Linked DNA regions of Cricetulus griseus. The protein of the gene in region 2 purifies or fractionates together with the protein of the main gene of each other region. This does not show direct contact. Links are inferred from orthologs where the notes say so. Each region holds a gene or a part of one and is shown on either strand. Other genes may lie near its edges.

Evidence for each region.
Region 1: the proteins of Polr2h (region 2) and Polr1e purify together in Homo sapiens (affinity purification with mass spectrometry; 3 studies listed by BioGRID and IntAct, with this or other methods). This does not show direct contact. The link is inferred for Cricetulus griseus from reciprocal best matches to the Homo sapiens genes POLR2H and POLR1E.

Annotation. Positions count from the first base shown.
Region 1 is NC_048595.1:98,425,189-98,432,794, reverse strand, and holds part of Polr1e (DNA-directed RNA polymerase I subunit RPA49), read left to right. Parts: intron 1-188; coding exon 189-292; intron 293-844; coding exon 845-921; intron 922-1,841; coding exon 1,842-1,927; intron 1,928-4,475; coding exon 4,476-4,534; intron 4,535-5,278; coding exon 5,279-5,423; intron 5,424-6,043; coding exon 6,044-6,151; intron 6,152-6,740; coding exon 6,741-6,837; intron 6,838-7,606. UniProt on the Homo sapiens protein: Component of RNA polymerase I (Pol I), a DNA-dependent RNA polymerase which synthesizes ribosomal RNA precursors using the four ribonucleoside triphosphates as substrates.
Region 2 is NC_048597.1:67,930,426-67,938,457, reverse strand, and holds the start of Polr2h (DNA-directed RNA polymerases I, II, and III subunit RPABC3), read left to right. Parts: upstream 1-3,501; 5' UTR 3,502-3,843; coding exon 3,844-3,916; intron 3,917-4,893; coding exon 4,894-4,977; intron 4,978-5,222; coding exon 5,223-5,316; intron 5,317-6,351; coding exon 6,352-6,435; intron 6,436-7,968; coding exon 7,969-8,032. Other genes in the region: Clcn2 (chloride channel protein 2), read right to left, coding at 1,812-1,895. UniProt on the Homo sapiens protein: DNA-dependent RNA polymerase catalyzes the transcription of DNA into RNA using the four ribonucleoside triphosphates as substrates.

The sequences.
Region 1 (7,606 bases), on a different chromosome or scaffold from region 2:
TTTCTGCACAGAGGCCACCCCCTCCCCATCTCCTTTTTTTTAGTACTGGACCAGGACTTCCTTCAGTCTCCCTAAAAGTGGGACATGAGCTCTCTTGCCTTCGCCCTGGGTTCCCAACCACAGTGTAGTTCTAAGCCACCCCACTCTGCTGGTCTTGCCCTCATCTCATTCTTGGGTTACACTTACAGTCCAATTCTCCAATGGGAAGCTGCAGAATCCAGGCAACATGCGCTTCACCTTGTACAACAGCAACGACTTGGTAAACCCCAGGCTGAAGAATCAGCGGATCCTGGTAAGGGCTGCAGGTACAGGTAGTCTGGGCTCTGCAGGGCTCAGAAGGCCCTTGGTGTGGGCAGATATGGGAGGGCCTGAGGGGAGAAAAGGAGGAAAGCAAATGGGACTGTGGCTTCACCAAGGTGCAAGATTTTGGGTGAAACGATGACTTTTCACATATTTGGGAAAAAGGATTTCTCCGTGTAGCTCTAGCTATACTGGAACTCACTGAGTAGACATAGCTGGCTGACCTCCAATTCAGAGATCCGCCTGCCCCTGCCTCCACAGTGCTGGGATTAAGGGTGTGGGCCACCACCGCCCAGTTTGAAGCTTTTTAATTTCATGCAATCCCAGGTGGCGCCCCCCCCCAGAACTTTATCACTTTGAAGCTTCCTTATGGTATTTGGGGTCCCCCAGAGACACCCTAGATTCCTGTAGATATGATGGGGTAGGTCACCTGGAGAATATCTAGGGCTGGTCATTTTGGTCCTGGATTCTAAGACTTCTATACACGTCAAAAGGAGGCCATGCCCAGTGCTGATTGTAAATTGGACACTCCTTTGTTTTTCAGGCAGCAGAAACAGACAGGCTGTCCTATGTTGGAAACAATTTTGGGACTGGCGCCCTCAAATGCAACACTCTTTGCAGGTAATGGACAACTGGGCAGTGACAAAGGTGCTAGGAGGGTTGTAGTAGTGACAGAGACAACACTATCTTCAGTCTTCATTTTGGAGGTAGTTGAGATCTGCAGGTTTGCTAAGACTTTGTGTTTCTAGACTCACAAATTCCATATACTGTTGTGTAGACACCCTTAGAAAGGAAAAGATGGCTTGCGTTTGTCGAGTTCCTAAAGACCTCATTATGACATTATGTATGACTGTCCTATCCCAAAAGACAGCTATGTCTGCTGATTTAGAATGTGTGATCATCAGGTCAAAGCTTGCCTCAAGTTTGCCTTGGGACAAGAGGATTTTGTATCTTCAAGGCCTCTGGGTTGGAACAAAGCAGCCCTCCAGCACTGTCAGAGTGAATGACTTTGGCAACTTTGCTCTTCGCTCACCTCTGGTGTCTTCTGTGTCACAGCATCATCCAGCCTGAAGAATTTATGCATGCCAAAATTCTGTTTAATTTTAGATTCTTATTACCTCAAAAGGGTTTCCATTAACAGCAGTGGCTTTAAATTTGTTTTGTTTTGTTTTGTTTTGTTTTGTTTTCTGAGACAGGGTTTCTCTGTGGCTTTGGAGGCTGTCTGGAACTAGCTCTTGTAGACCTGGCTGGTCTCGAACTCAAGAGATCCTCCTGCCTCTGCCTCCCAAGTGCTGGGACTTTAAATGTGATTGGTTATCAGAACCATCTGGTGGCTTTTTCAGTCCACAACCATTTTATGTCTCCTTCCTCTTCATCACCTACTGTTTCCTCTCCGTGCAGGGATTATTGTTACATGTGAGCAAGTGGATGCCTTTTTCTGGCAGAAAGAAGCTAGGGATATGTGAATAGGAAAAAGAGAGGATTGTGTAAATAATAACCTTTTGGTTAAACTACTATTGTATCATTACTTTTTTCCTCAGACACTTTGTGGGAATTCTGAATAAGACCTCTGGGCAGATGGAAGTATATGATGCTGAGTTGTTCAACATGCAGCCACTGTTTGCTGGTAGGTTCCGGAAATGAATACTCTGTTAAATGAATATTCAGTTAAATACATCGTTTGGGTTTGTTGGATTAGTTCATTTTTGTTTTCTAGAAGGCATTTGTAATTTTTTTCTAAATGGCTTCCTCCACATATACCTTTTTGAGAGAAGGTCTCATGTAGACCCTTGAATTTTCTGGGTAGCTGAAGATGACGTTGGATTTCTGGTCCTCCTGCCATCAACTTGAGAGTGCTGTGTATGGTGAGAGGTTTATATGGTAAAGGGGTGTGAACTCAGAACTTGGTGTCTATTTGGCAAACACAGCTTATCCTCAACCATAATAGGATGCCTTCTTGCCGAGTGTTCTCATTTTTCTTTTTTCTTTTTAATTTGAAAAGGTATATGGATATATAACCTTTTGTGGGGCGGGGCGGGGGGGGGGGGGGGTTGAGACAGGATTTCTCTGTGTAGCTTTGGAGCCTGTCCTGGCACTCGCTCTGTAGACCAGGCTGGCCTTGAACTCACAGAGATCCATTTGCTTCTGCCTCCTGAGTGCTGGGATTAAAGGTGTTCGACACTACCACCCAGCAATATTTTTTTTAAATGAATCACTTATTGATTCCTTACATTCTTCAAGTACTAAACTAAGGACTGTATGACAAATAAGAGCCCATCTCTTCAGCATTTACAGATATTGTCTCAGAAACCAGCCTTTAAAGCAAGAAGAATAGTCATCAGTACAGAATATTAAGGGAGGTGTCTCATAGTACATTCTTTCCCACCACAGACTTAATTCTTCTTGTGTGGGAGTACAGGTGTTCACATGCCACAGCACACATAGGGAGGTCCTGACTGACCTGTGTGAGACACTGTCTGTTGGCTCTGAGTAGGCTGGCAGGCTACCCCTTGAGCATCTGGGGTTCTGTTGTCTCGGCTTCCCATCTTACTGTGGGAGCTCTTGGATCCTAGATGTGTGCCACCATGCCCAGTTTCACATGGGTTCTGGGGATTCACACCAAGGTCCTCGTGTGTGGATAGCAAGCTCTCTAACACACTGAACCATCTCCAATGGAGATGTGAAATTTTATTACATTGGTTTATCAGTGTGTGTGTGTGTGTGTGTGTGTGTGTGTGTGTGTGTACACCACAATGCATGTGTGGCAGTCAACGGCCAATTCAAGCAAGTTGATTTTCTCCTTCTAATATGTGGATCCAGGAATGGGAACTCCAGTCATCAAACTTGGTGACAAACACCTTTACCTGCTGGCCTTCTCCCAGCCCACCACATTTGATTCTTTTTTTAAAAAAAGATTTATTTTATTTTATGTGTATGGTTCTGTTGTCTGCATGTGTGTCTGTGTACCACAAGCATGCATTGCTCATGGAAGCCAGAAGAGGAGTTGGATCCCTTGGAACCGGAGTTACACATGGTTGTTACCTGTCATATGGATGCTGTCATATGGAACTGAACTTGGGTCCTCTTGCAAGGGCATCAAGTGCTATTAACTGCTGAGTCATCTCTTCACACTCTGGGGTTGTTTAACTCTTGACGAGACACATTTGTGTTTCGTGCAGTTTAAAGCCCTGGCTTGTTCTGGCTAGCACATGCACAACTTTAGTTTTGGGTCCTTGCTGTGTGCCCATCACTATTCTGAACACCTTTCATAAGCACCCATGATTACTTCATATGTACTCTAATTGCTTTTTTTCTTTGTTTTTTTGAGACAGAGTCTCTCTGTGTAGTTCTGGCTGTCCTGGAACTCCATCTGTAGTCCAGGCTGGCCTTGAACTTAAGGAGATTTGCCTACCTCTGCCTCCCTAGTGCTGGGATTAAAGGTGTGTGCCACCACCACCTGGCCACCTGGCTTTTTTTTTTCTCTCCTTGCGTTGAAACTTGGCTGAGTCAGTGACCTGCTGCTGAGCTAACTCAGGCAGGGCCATTGCAGAGCTTGTGTTTTTGCCCGCCAGGTTATGCTGCTCACTCCTTGAGTACTCTGAGGGAAGTTGGGGAGTGAAAACATCCGAATTATGTTCACACCTGCCTTTAGGTCTTTGACTAGAAAAGCAAATCTACTGACAGGAAGAACTGAGGACTTGGTTTCTGTTCCCTCTGGCCTGGCTTGGAAAATGCCTGGGCCAGTCACTGTGTCTGCAGGCCTCATTTTCCCTGTTTATGAAGTAAGAGGTTGGAGCAGAGGACACCCATTACCCAGTTCTCTTACTTGTGCACTGAGGTATACAGTCAGTATTCACAGTGTACATTCATGTTAGGGAAATCCGGAATAAGGAAATCTGTTTTCCTTAGATGAATATTAAATAAATACCAAGCACTATTAATATTTTTAAGGCCTTGCAGAGCTGAGCACAGTTGGCTGCAGTCTCCCCTACTTGTGGGGTTGAGAGCAGGGAATCAGTTGAGCTCACAAGTGTAAGACCTTCTTAGGCAACATAGTGAGACCCCATTAAAAAACAAAACAGTAAAATACTCACTTGTGAACCTCATGGTGTGCTTTCTTCCTGTTCTGTGTTTTTCTGAGTCTCATAGTGTGCTTTCTTCCTGTGTTTCTATAGAAGACGCTATTGAACAGGAGCCTCCTCCAGAGAACCAGGCCAAGACTTTCAGGGAAAAGGTGAGCAGTAGTTAGGGAAGCTCCTTCAGGGCCTGGTCTACCCATCAGTGTCACAGCGCCCTTGAATGTGGGCCTCTCTGGCTGTTCCAGTTCAATTGGTCTGTGGCTCTGCCTGGTTGCTACCTGCAGAGGCCTTCAGGTCTCCCAGAGAGCTGCTGCCCTGGCCAGGTGAACACAGCTAATGTTAGTATTTGCACCCTGTTCTCTGGGCTGATGGAGGTATAGCAGAAAACATCTTAGGTTTTGGTCCACATTGTAGAAAATGGTTGTACCTTGAGACTCATGCAAACAAAGTAAGTTCTTTGAGCTTCTCGGTGTAGATCAAGGATTCTTAGCGAAGTGATCTCACCACAGGGTGGCAGACTGAACCTGCAGTGCTGTTGGACCACTGCAAAGAGAAGACTCCTCTGTGGTTCAGGGAGACTGAGTGGTTTATTAACAGTGTCCTGTTACTGGAGCAAATAGCATATTGGCAGGCTGTGTGCCACAGATTTACCAACCCTAATTCCAGTCAAGTTGTCTTTTTGTACTGATGGAAAACTAACTATAGATTTGTAACTGGGAGTCAGTATTATCAAATCCCAGTTCTGATGTGGAACAGACCTCTGAGGTGGACAGGTATGAGAAGGATTGACAGATGAGGTAATCCTGGCTCAGGGAGCCCAGAGCATGCTTGTGCTTACATACGTGGAACAGTCAGCCTGCCCAGCCTGTCCTTCCTGATTGGATTTGTTTCTTACACAGTTGGATTCTTGCATTGAAGCCTTTGGAAGCACCAAGCAGAAGCGGTCCCTGAACTCCAGGAGAATGAACAAAGTTGGCAGCGAATCTTTGAATCTCACAGTAACTAAAGCTGCAGAGAACATCATTGATACAAAGGGTGTGAACGGTAAGCAGCTGGAGCTTGGGTAAAGAGTATGCCCACAAAGACTTGAGATCTGTCACTCACCTCCATATGCAAGTGGTGGGCTTGAAGGCTGGATTCTTTCTTGCTACTTGCTGAGGGCCTGCTCAGGAATGACTCTGGAACCACGAGAAACTGTGGCCATAGCTTCTCTGATGTTGTGTAGTGATTATTAGCACAAGTCTATTTTTTTTTTAATTTATTTATTTATTATGTGTACAGTGTTCTGTCTACATGTTGCCTGCAGGCCAGAGGAGGGCACCAGATCTCATTATAGATGGTTGTGAGCCACCATGTGGTTGCTGGGAATTGAACTCGGGACCTTTGGAAGAACAAGTAGTGCTTTTAACCACTGAGCCATCTCTCCAGCCCCCAGCACGCGTCTTTTTAACCCTATTCTGAGTTAGTTGAGAGCAAACACACTGTATCCACCTTCTGCATGGCTGGGACTCCTGGAGCATCAGCCTGATGGTCAGTTCAGATCTTGGCAGGTGTTCAGATTTGAGTTTTGGACCATGTGGTCTCCATTGCATAGGGTTCATGGCGTGTGGGGGAGCCTGCAGCCAGACAGGGGGACACTCATATGAATTTCCTTGAATTGAAAGCTCTGGTCAGCGATGCCATGCAGGATGACTTGCAAGATGACTCCCTCTACCTTCCTCCCTGCCATGCTGATGCAACCAAGCCTGAAGACGTGTACAGATTTGAAGACAGTATCCTTGCATTGGAAAGGTGCCTAATTTGCAGGCTATGATGTTTGTATCCATTGGCAGAACCAGGCTGTGTATGGGTGGTCATGGTCCTGTGACATTAATAAATGCAACATCCAAACTTTTACCACACCCCAGTGCTGTTAACAAGAGGTTGGTTGGTCAGTTCGGCTTCTTCATCAGTGGAGGGACCCACTCCTGGGACTCAAACCCATTATTCAGTAACAGGACAACGGGCACAGCTTAGCCCTGTGGGGGTCATTCTCCACAGATAGTCAGAATATAACCTTAGAGTTGGCTGGTATCAAAGTCTAGAGCAGACATACTGAAAGGAGGGTTGGAATATAGAACTCTACTGCTCATTGGGTCTGGCTAATTGGAGAGTGCTAACAGAGGCTCTGGTAATGAAGTGGAGGGGGGCAGTCCAAGTAGGAAGTGACCCCTAGGCTGGAGTCTAAGAATCTGGTTTCTGCGCTCCACCCTGCTTCCTCCATGGGCCTTAGCCTTTCATGCCTGGGAAATGAGGCCCCGTGAGATGACTTACCTCAGTGGGTTTCCATTTTGGTCAGTCATGTTCTTAACCTGCAACCAGTTCTGTCCCAGGCTGAGTATGATGCCCTTGAGAGCCCATCAGAAGCTTTCAGAAAGGTCACATCAGAAGACATACTGAAGATGATTGAAGAGAACAGGTATCCATGGGCAGAGGGAGCATCTGTGAGTCAGGAAACGGGAGTCGGACACAAAGCAAGACTTTGCTGATAGCACTCGGAGTCAGTGGGGAGGTGTCTGCTCAGCGGTGGGAGGAGGAGTGAGCTTTGACACTAGGCTTTCAGGCCTGGGCAGATTCAAGGAAGAGGATTGGCTCATGTGTAGCTGGAAAGATGGTGGCAGGGTCCTGTAATCCGGGGCCTGGCACCAAAGCTAGCCCCAGACCCCACTGTTGTGTTGATGTTGTTGATGATCACTGGCATTGGCATGAGTGCTAATCAGCGTGACAGATGTGACAGCATGCTGGAAAAGGTTTCTAAAATTAAATACACATTTTTAGATATTGTATATTTAGTTTAAATAACAGAGATTAACCCAATTAAAACAACTTTTTAAAAAAATGATGGTTAGATTATTTCTTAGTTCTGAGCCTTTTCTTCTCTTTAGGTTTTTCGAGGGTTTCTCTGTGTAGCTTTGGAGGCTGTCCTGGTACTCATTCTGGAGATCAGGCTGGCCTCGAACTCATAGAGATCCACCTGCCTCTGCCTCCCAAGTGCTGGGATTAAAGGCATGTGCCACCAATGCCCAGCCTGAGTTTTTTCTTCTAATTACCCCTTTCTTCTTTTTTTATGAGATTATCCATGTTTATGTGTATGTATGATGTGGGGATGGGTGCCAATAAAAGATGTCATTGCATCTTCTAGATCTGTAGTTACAGGCAGTTGTGAGTGGCCCCAGTGTGAGTGCTAG
Region 2 (8,032 bases):
GGCAGGAAGGTCAGAGACTAAGGGATGGTCAAGGGCGTATGAGCAACAATAAGAGGCTGGTGGAGCTGAGAGCAGCTGAGCTGGGCCTAGGAGGTCCCAGCCCCAATCCTTATCACGTTCCTACTGGGCCTTTGGCCTGTGACCAACTCAGTGGCACCCTTCCCACCCACCCTAATCCCCTTGTCCTCATTCTCCACTCCCAAACCCCCATTAGCCCGGCAGCCCAGCTCAAAGTGGAAAGCCTCTTTGGGTGGGTAAGGCAGTGTTGGGTGATTTCAGTCCCTCTGGAACTGCACTTGGGGCCAGTGACAGGTCTTGGGGACAGCAGAGGTTGCAGATGGCAAGGCTGTGACTGTGGTACAAGGCTGATGGGAAGAGAGTTATGGCTGGACCTGCCAAGCTGGGCGTGTGTTGGGGGGTGGGGAGGAGTAGATTCTGGCTGCCACCCGCGGAGCTTCAAGACACAAAGGGCTCCTGTTGGGGTTGGGGTTTGTGTGTGTGTGTGTGTGGGGGGGGATAGACAGAGCTCGGGTGAGACACAGAGGAAAGGGAGAAGCAGAGGGAACGGAACTATATAGGAAAGAGGGAGAAAGACCCGAGAGCAGGGAGGAGGAAGAGACCAGAGTGTGGAAACACAGCAGGTGGGAGGAGGTGAGGGCCAGACAAAAGGGTAGGAGGGGAAGTGGGAGAGGCCAGAGCAGGGAGAGCTTGACCCTGAGAGCTCATTTCATAGACACAGGGAGATGGAGTGGCGGCTGGTGCAAAAGAGATACCATTTCAGAGTTTAGGTGCCTGGCTTCCATGGCCAAATGCCCCTCTCCTTGACCTGTGCATGGCAAGGATAACAGCCATTGCCAACAAAAGGGCTTGCCGGCACTAGCGTCACTCACACCTACCACCTCTCCCAGTCATCCAGTTTCATACAGTCTCTGGTAATTGGGCACCTCCCTGACTCAGTTACAATCCAGGCCCTCTCTCAAGGAGGTTCCTCCCTGACACCCTCCAGGGCAAATTCCAGCCCGAGCTGATAAAACGGAGCCATAGGGCCAGTTTCTTTCTGTAGGGCTTGGGCCCCCCACCCTAGTGACATGAGGGTGAATGGCTTCTTAACTCTTGACTTGCTATGAGTCATCTCAAAGCTCAGGACCCCTGCTTCTGATGAGGTCAAGGGACACTCCATGGGCGTGGGTGGTAGTGGTGGTGGGGTACCTGCCTAGATCCAGCTAGAACAAAGGTTCCAATTCTCACACCCATTCCTGCTTCCTGCATCAACCCTCAAGCTTCGGTCCCCAGGGTGACAAGCCACCTAAGCCAGCCACCTTTCCCAAAAGTTCGACTGAGGGGTTCTTGTCAATGCTGGACTTTGAGTCTTTAAAGGCAGGGGGTAGGTTTGGATTTGATTACTTCCCTGCAGTCTTTATGTCCAGCTTAATGCTGTGGCATAGTAGGGACACAGGGAAGGTGTAGAATGTGGATAGGCATTTGGAGAAAGTTCACAGGTATCGAGAAAGGGTACTGGGGTGCTGTAACTTGGTAAGTGGAAAAAACAAAATCGTGTCAGCCGAAGGGAGTAAGGGGAAGGACACCTGGGCCAAACACCTGGTGTCATTGTCCTCTCCAGGCCACCAGTCTCAGCCAGAAACCAGCAAGCAGCTTTCAAACACCCTGAACCTATAGCCTGTCGGATCCCGAACCTCAGTTTCCACAGCTGAGGAAGGCTGAGGCCGGGCTTGGGTAGGCCGCCTGTGCTCACACTTCCTAGGGCAACCTGCAGCAGTGGTGCCATAGCGCACCCCTTAGGTTTCACTTACCAGGGTCTGCTCATACTGCAGCGCCCGAGGCTCCATCCCTTCCCCCGCCGCCGCCGCCGCCGCCGCGGCCGTGGCGGCCGCCATCTCGGTGCACTGTCCTCTTGCCTCCCTTGGCTTCTCGGGCTCTGGCCTTGACTCAGCTCCCGGCCCGCTGAGCCCGCGCCCGCACCCGTCCCGTCCCCTCAGCCCCGGCGGCCGAGTGCAGAGTGCGACGGTCCCCGGGCGCGCGCCGCAGGCTCAGCCTCTCGCTAGCGTCCCCTCCTTGGCGGGCGGGCCGAGGGCGGTGCCCTGCTTGCTGCTCCGCCCTGGCCCATCTGCAGGGGCGTCCGGTCGGGCTGGGGTCTGCATTGGAGCCGCCTCCTGGCCTCCGGAGAAGCGGCAGGGGGCGCTTGCAACGCGATCTTGCACCCCTTCTCTGGGGAGGCCGGGGGCTGACCCGGCCCCGAGAGGGTGCGGGGCCGGACGGGGGCGGGTCCGCTGGCACGTGGAGGGGACGGGCTCTCGGGCGGCTGCAGCGTTGTGCGGGAGGGGCTGAGGATGTAGTGACTCCAGGGCTGGGGCAGGGGGCTGCTGACGAGCTATCTCGGGCTCTCCAGGCCAGACTCGACTGGGGCAGCCTCTGCTTCGCGTTTGCTGGCGGCTCAGACGGGTCTGGGAGGATTCCTGAGAGCCCGCTCCCTTATCGCCTCCCTTCCTCCTTTCTTCTTTTCCTCCGGGTTCCCCCGGGAAGGTGCACCTGGAACTGCTAGGCCTGGAGATCGGGGCGGAGGTGGAGGTGGGAGGGGACGGGAAGGGGTGAGGCCCGAGGGAAGGGAGCTATTGGTGCGGGGGAGGCTGCTCCTGGGAGGCGGGCGTGGGGGAGCAGAGGTCGCTCCTCCCAGGCATCGCTTAAAGGGGGAACTTGAGTAGCTGCTGACGCCTCGAGGAAGCGGCCCAGTGAAGCTCTACGTTGTCTTTCGGGATCCTTGGAAGGATAAGAACAGTGTGGCGTTGGCACAAAGAGGATGGACAGCGTTAGGTTGGTGCCACTGGAGAGGACGGTGCCCAGAAATCCGTGTAGAAAGAACAGCATCAGGATGAAGACTCATTCAGCAAACAGAGGGTGGTGCTCAAGGGGAGCGTACGGTGCCCAGTACGGGGGCTGCGATGAAAGGAGATAGCACCTGGAAAGAGCGCGCTGCGAGCTGTCGTTTCCCAGGGAAAGGCCAGTGTCGGGTGGAAGCGCACTGGATCAGTGTCCAGAAGAGGGTAGTGTAGTGGGGTGACAGGCAGTACCAAGTTCAATTGGCAGTGTTCTAGGGGATCAGAGTTAGTGCCAAGCAGGGCCAAGGGAAGACCGGCGTGGCGAGGAGGTGAAGCCCCAGGCGAGGGCACAATGCGGGCTTTCCTTTCCCTGACAGTGACATCACGGCAAATTCCCAAACCGGACGGACCCGGCTCGGGTGACGTCTAGCTGGTCAGAGCCAGCTCGGACCAGCGTGGGGAACCTTGGTGGCCGTCCGAGGGGCTGGGCACTGCGTCCCGCTGGGCGGGCGCTCTGCGGGTGGAGTTCGGCTTCACCCTCCTGCAGCACGGACTGTGCCCTCGGCGGGCACGCGGACCGCAGGGAAGGGCTAGGGCCGGGCTCCCTCTGGGCCAAGGATCAAGGTTCCTGGCTGGGTCCGGTCCCGGAGCCTTCCAAGCATCGGGATCCGGGGTCTGAAGAGGGCGCCCTAGAGCCGGGCGCATCGCGGTACCCGCCGGGGGTGGGACTTAGTCTGTCCCCGCCTTGGGCGGAGTCACCGCGCTTTGAGACTCGCCCACAAGGTCCGAGCCACTCCGAGGTGGCCTTTCCCGGCGGAAGTGAAGGAGCCCCGAGGGGAGGCAGCGGAAGTGGCTGCGTTGCTGAAGCCTGTGCGCATGCGCCCTGCGGCTGGTTGCCGCTTTTTGGGGCGGTACTCTGCCCTGTCTTCTTTTCTCCACGTGAGGGGGTGCGCGAATTCCCAGTGGTGGCCGCGCGCTCCGCACCTCTGCAGTTCTCGTGCCCCTTACGATGGCGGGCATCCTGTTCGAGGATATTTTTGATGTGAAAGACATTGACCCAGAAGGCAAGAAATTTGACCGAGGTAAGGTGTGTAGGGGAGGTGAGGAAGAGGCCAAACATGCCCACCCACCCCAAGTGGCCCGTCCCACCCTCTCGGTACCTCCCTCAGGAAACAGTGTTTTTCATAATGAGAAACTTGGGACAGCTTTTCCTATGATGTTTGCGGTGTCTGGTGCCTCGGTGGCCCTTGGCTTTGGGGTTGGGAAAGCCCTGGACACCTTTCTGACTCCTTATTCAGTATTACGTGCTGTATGTACCGTGCGCCTCTCTCGCACACTTAAGTATTGTAGTAAGAAGTGATGGTGCCCGATCTATTTTGTTACTTAAGGCCGTGCAGCGAGTTACCTCCCTGTCTTCCTAACCCATAGTTTTGTATTGCCCCAAGAATTGTTAGCCCTTTGCCGAGTCCTCTATAAATTTCATGCAGCTGACTGCTTGGTGTATTCATTTCCCAGTAATCCGGAAGTTGTTTCTTCTCAGTGTCACTTTACCTGGAGACAGACCCCCCCCCCCCCAATACAGATTCTCTTTGTAGCTCTGGCTGTCTTGGAACTTGCTTTGTAGACCAGACTGGCCTTGAACTCAGAGATCCACCTGCCTCTGCCTCCCAAGTGCTGGGATTAAAGGCGTGCCCCCCCCATTTTTAAAGACAGGTGTCAGTTCTCAATACACCCTGCCTATTCCCTCCGCAGAGTGCCTACTAGGAAGTGGGGATCTCTGGACTAATGACTATCTTGTTCAGAGTTGAGTTTAGTCTAAATCATCCAGGTGTGCTTAGAGCCTAGAGACGGGTTGCTGCCAGAGAAGTTCTGCTTCTTTCTTGGGATCCTGACACTTGCTGAGGTGTTTACTCCCTTTCTTCTCTGAATCTGATTTGGATTGCACTCTGTGTCTGTGTCCCAGAGCAAGGCTAATGGCTGTGGACTAGTTGAAAGATTTGTTCTCCTGCATTCGACCCCGACTCTGTTGCCTGTAATTATGTCTGTCGCTCTTTCCCAGTATCTCGGCTGCACTGTGAGAGTGAATCTTTCAAGATGGACCTCATCTTAGACGTGAACATTCAGATTTACCCAGTGGACTTGGGTAAGTGTCCAACACAGGAGCTAGCAAGTGAATTTTTTTGTTTGTTTGTTTGTTTTTCGAGACAGGTTTTCTCTATGGCTTTGGAGGCTGTCCTGGAACTAGCTCTTGTAGAACAGGCTGGTCTCGAACTCACAGAGATCCGCTTGCCTCTGCCTCCTGAGTACTGGGATTAAAAGCATGTGCTGCCAACGACTGGCTTTAGCAAGTGATTTTTATCTTTGGTTTCCGCTTGATGCTCTTTTCAGGTGACAAGTTCCGATTGGTCATAGCTAGTACTTTGTATGAAGATGGTACCTTGGATGATGGTGAATACAACCCCACAGATGACAGGCCTTCCAGGTGAGGCGGTGGTAAAGGAGGGACTAAATAGATAAGTAGTACATAGAATGGTCTTTATTTTACTGCTAGAAAAAGACATTACTGCACTTAGAATTCACACAACCAGAACTGGGTGTGATGGTTTGTGTCTGTAATTCCAGAACTCGGGAGATGAGGCAGGAGGATGAGGAGTTCAAGAACACCATTGGCTGCACATCAAATCTGAGACCAACCTGGGCTGGAGACCCTGTCTCTAAAAAATTTGAAAAAAATTTCAAACAACTGGCTTGATTACTTAGTGAGAGCAGTGAGTGGAAGCTTGTGAACTGCAGTTGTTTATTTATTTGAGACAGGGTCTCACTTTGTAGTCCTGGTTGGCCTGGACTATGTAGACCAAGCTGGTCTCAAACTCACAGATGACATCCACCTCCTCTGCCTCCTCAGTGTTGGAATTAAAGGTATGTACCACCACACCCTGCAAATGTAGCTTTTTTAAGGCCTAGAAAATGATTACATAGTAACCTAGATTTTGGTGTGACAGAAAGACTGTGGAGTATTGGGTCTGGTGGTACACACACTTAATCCCAGCATTTAGGAGGCAGAGGCAGGAGACCTCTGTGAGTTTGAGGCTAGCCTGGTCTACATAGCCAGTTAGGACAGCCATGACTATATACTGAACTTTTACTTCTCAGCTCCACTACTTCCATCTTCCATTTCCTTATCAATAAAGTACAGACAGTCATTTCTAGTTCACTGAATTGATGTGAAAGCCAAATAAGGTTGCGCTTCCATGGCATTTGTTGTTATCAGTTTCTATTTTAATTATTTCTATCTTTTTGGTTTTTCGAGACAAGGTTTCTTTGTGTGGCCGTGACTATCCTGGAACTTACTCTGTAGACTGTCAGGCTGGCCGAAAACTCACAGGCCTCTGTCTCTGCCTCTGCCTCTGATTCCTGAGTGCTGGGATTGTGCCACCATGCCTGGCTCAGTTTCCATTTTTAAATGTCTCTTACACTATTGATTGCTGTGAAAAGTAACTTTGCCTATTGTTTGTAGGGCGGACCAGTTTGAGTATGTCATGTATGGGAAAGTATATAGGATTGAGGGGGATGAGACCTCAACCGAAGCGGCGACACGTCTGTAAGTAACATTGTCTGGCTGTTAATAATCCAACCTCCCTGTTGTGAAATTGGGTCATGCTTCTCCTTCTGTATCAGGTTCTTTGTTTTTTCTAGTACCCGAAGCCGGGGTGGAAGAATTTGTTTTGGGAACAGTTTCTAGTCTGAATTTTGATTACTTACATCACCTGCTATCAGGATTTCAAGGCCCTGTGGCCCACAGGAGACTTTGGTAATCTTGCTTCATGAGGGACAACAGAGAACATCTTGGGGGATCACAAGCAGCATTTCATGACTAGGCCTTTTTATTTTTTACTTGTGTATGTGTTGCTACTCTGTAACCCAGACCTTGGTTCTTTAGTTTCCCTGCCTAATTTTTCTTTTTCTTTAAAATTGGTTTTAAATGCCGGGCAGTGGTGGCACACGCCTTTAATCCCAGCACTCGGGAGGCAGAGACTAGTTCCAGGACAGGCTCCAAAGCCACAGAGAAACCCTGTCTTGAAAAACCAAAACAAAATTGATTTTAAAACAATATGGTTGTTAGAATCTTGAAGCAGAAAATTAATGTGAAAAAGAACAAAAGTCACCTAGGAGGACGTTTTTTACAATTTAAATAGCTGGTGTGGTGCACACCTTTAATCCCAGCACCTGGGAAGTAGAGGCAGGTAGATCTCTGTGAGTTCAAGGTCAGCTGGTTTACAGAGTAAGTTCTAGGACAGCCAGAGATAGTGAGACCCTGTTTTGAGAAAACAAAAACAAGCGTTGGAGTGGTCTAGCTGTCTTTTTTCTTTTCTTTTGTTTACTTTTCCCTTTAAGATCCTTTATAATGTTTTCTTTTTTTTTTTGTCTAACATACTTCCCTTGTCAGGTGAAAATTCCCCTCAATTTTATTTTATTTTATTTTATTTTGAGATAGGGTCTCTCTATGTAGCCTGGGCTGTCTTGGAACTCACTATGTAGACCCAGGCTGGTGTTGAACTCGGGAGCTACTTGACTGCCTCCTGATGCTGGGATTAAAGACATGTGCCACCCTCCTGATTCCTTAGCATTTTCAAAAAAGTATTTTTTTATTTGTGTGTATGCATGCACGTGGGTGCTTATATGTGTACCATGTGCAGGTATGAGACCACCAAGGTCAGAAGGGGGACATTGAACACCTTGAAAATGGGGTTACAGGTGGTTGTAAGGTGCCATGTGGGTGCTTGGGGGTGGTGAATCCAGGTCTGCATTCTTCTCTCCAGCCCCTACCTCAGTATCCAATAGCTGTATAATATTGCAATGAATGGTGACACCTTCATTTGTGTGAACAACATTGTAATGAATGGTGACACCTTCATTTGTGTGACTACTCTCCTATTTTGGGCATAGCAGCAGCGTTTACTCCTCCACTAGAGTAAACAACACTGCTTTGTGCATATCTGCATTCAGGTTTGTCCCAGTCTTTGGTTCCTAATGACAGAATGCTAGGGGAGTGCCTTTAAAAAAATGGACGGAGAGCTGCTGGGAAGCAGCTGCTTGAGAGCTCAGACTCAGGACCAGGGACCTTCTGTTTCAGCTCTGCCTATGTGTCCTATGGGGGCCTGCTCATGAGGCTTCAGGGTGATGCCAACAACTTGCAT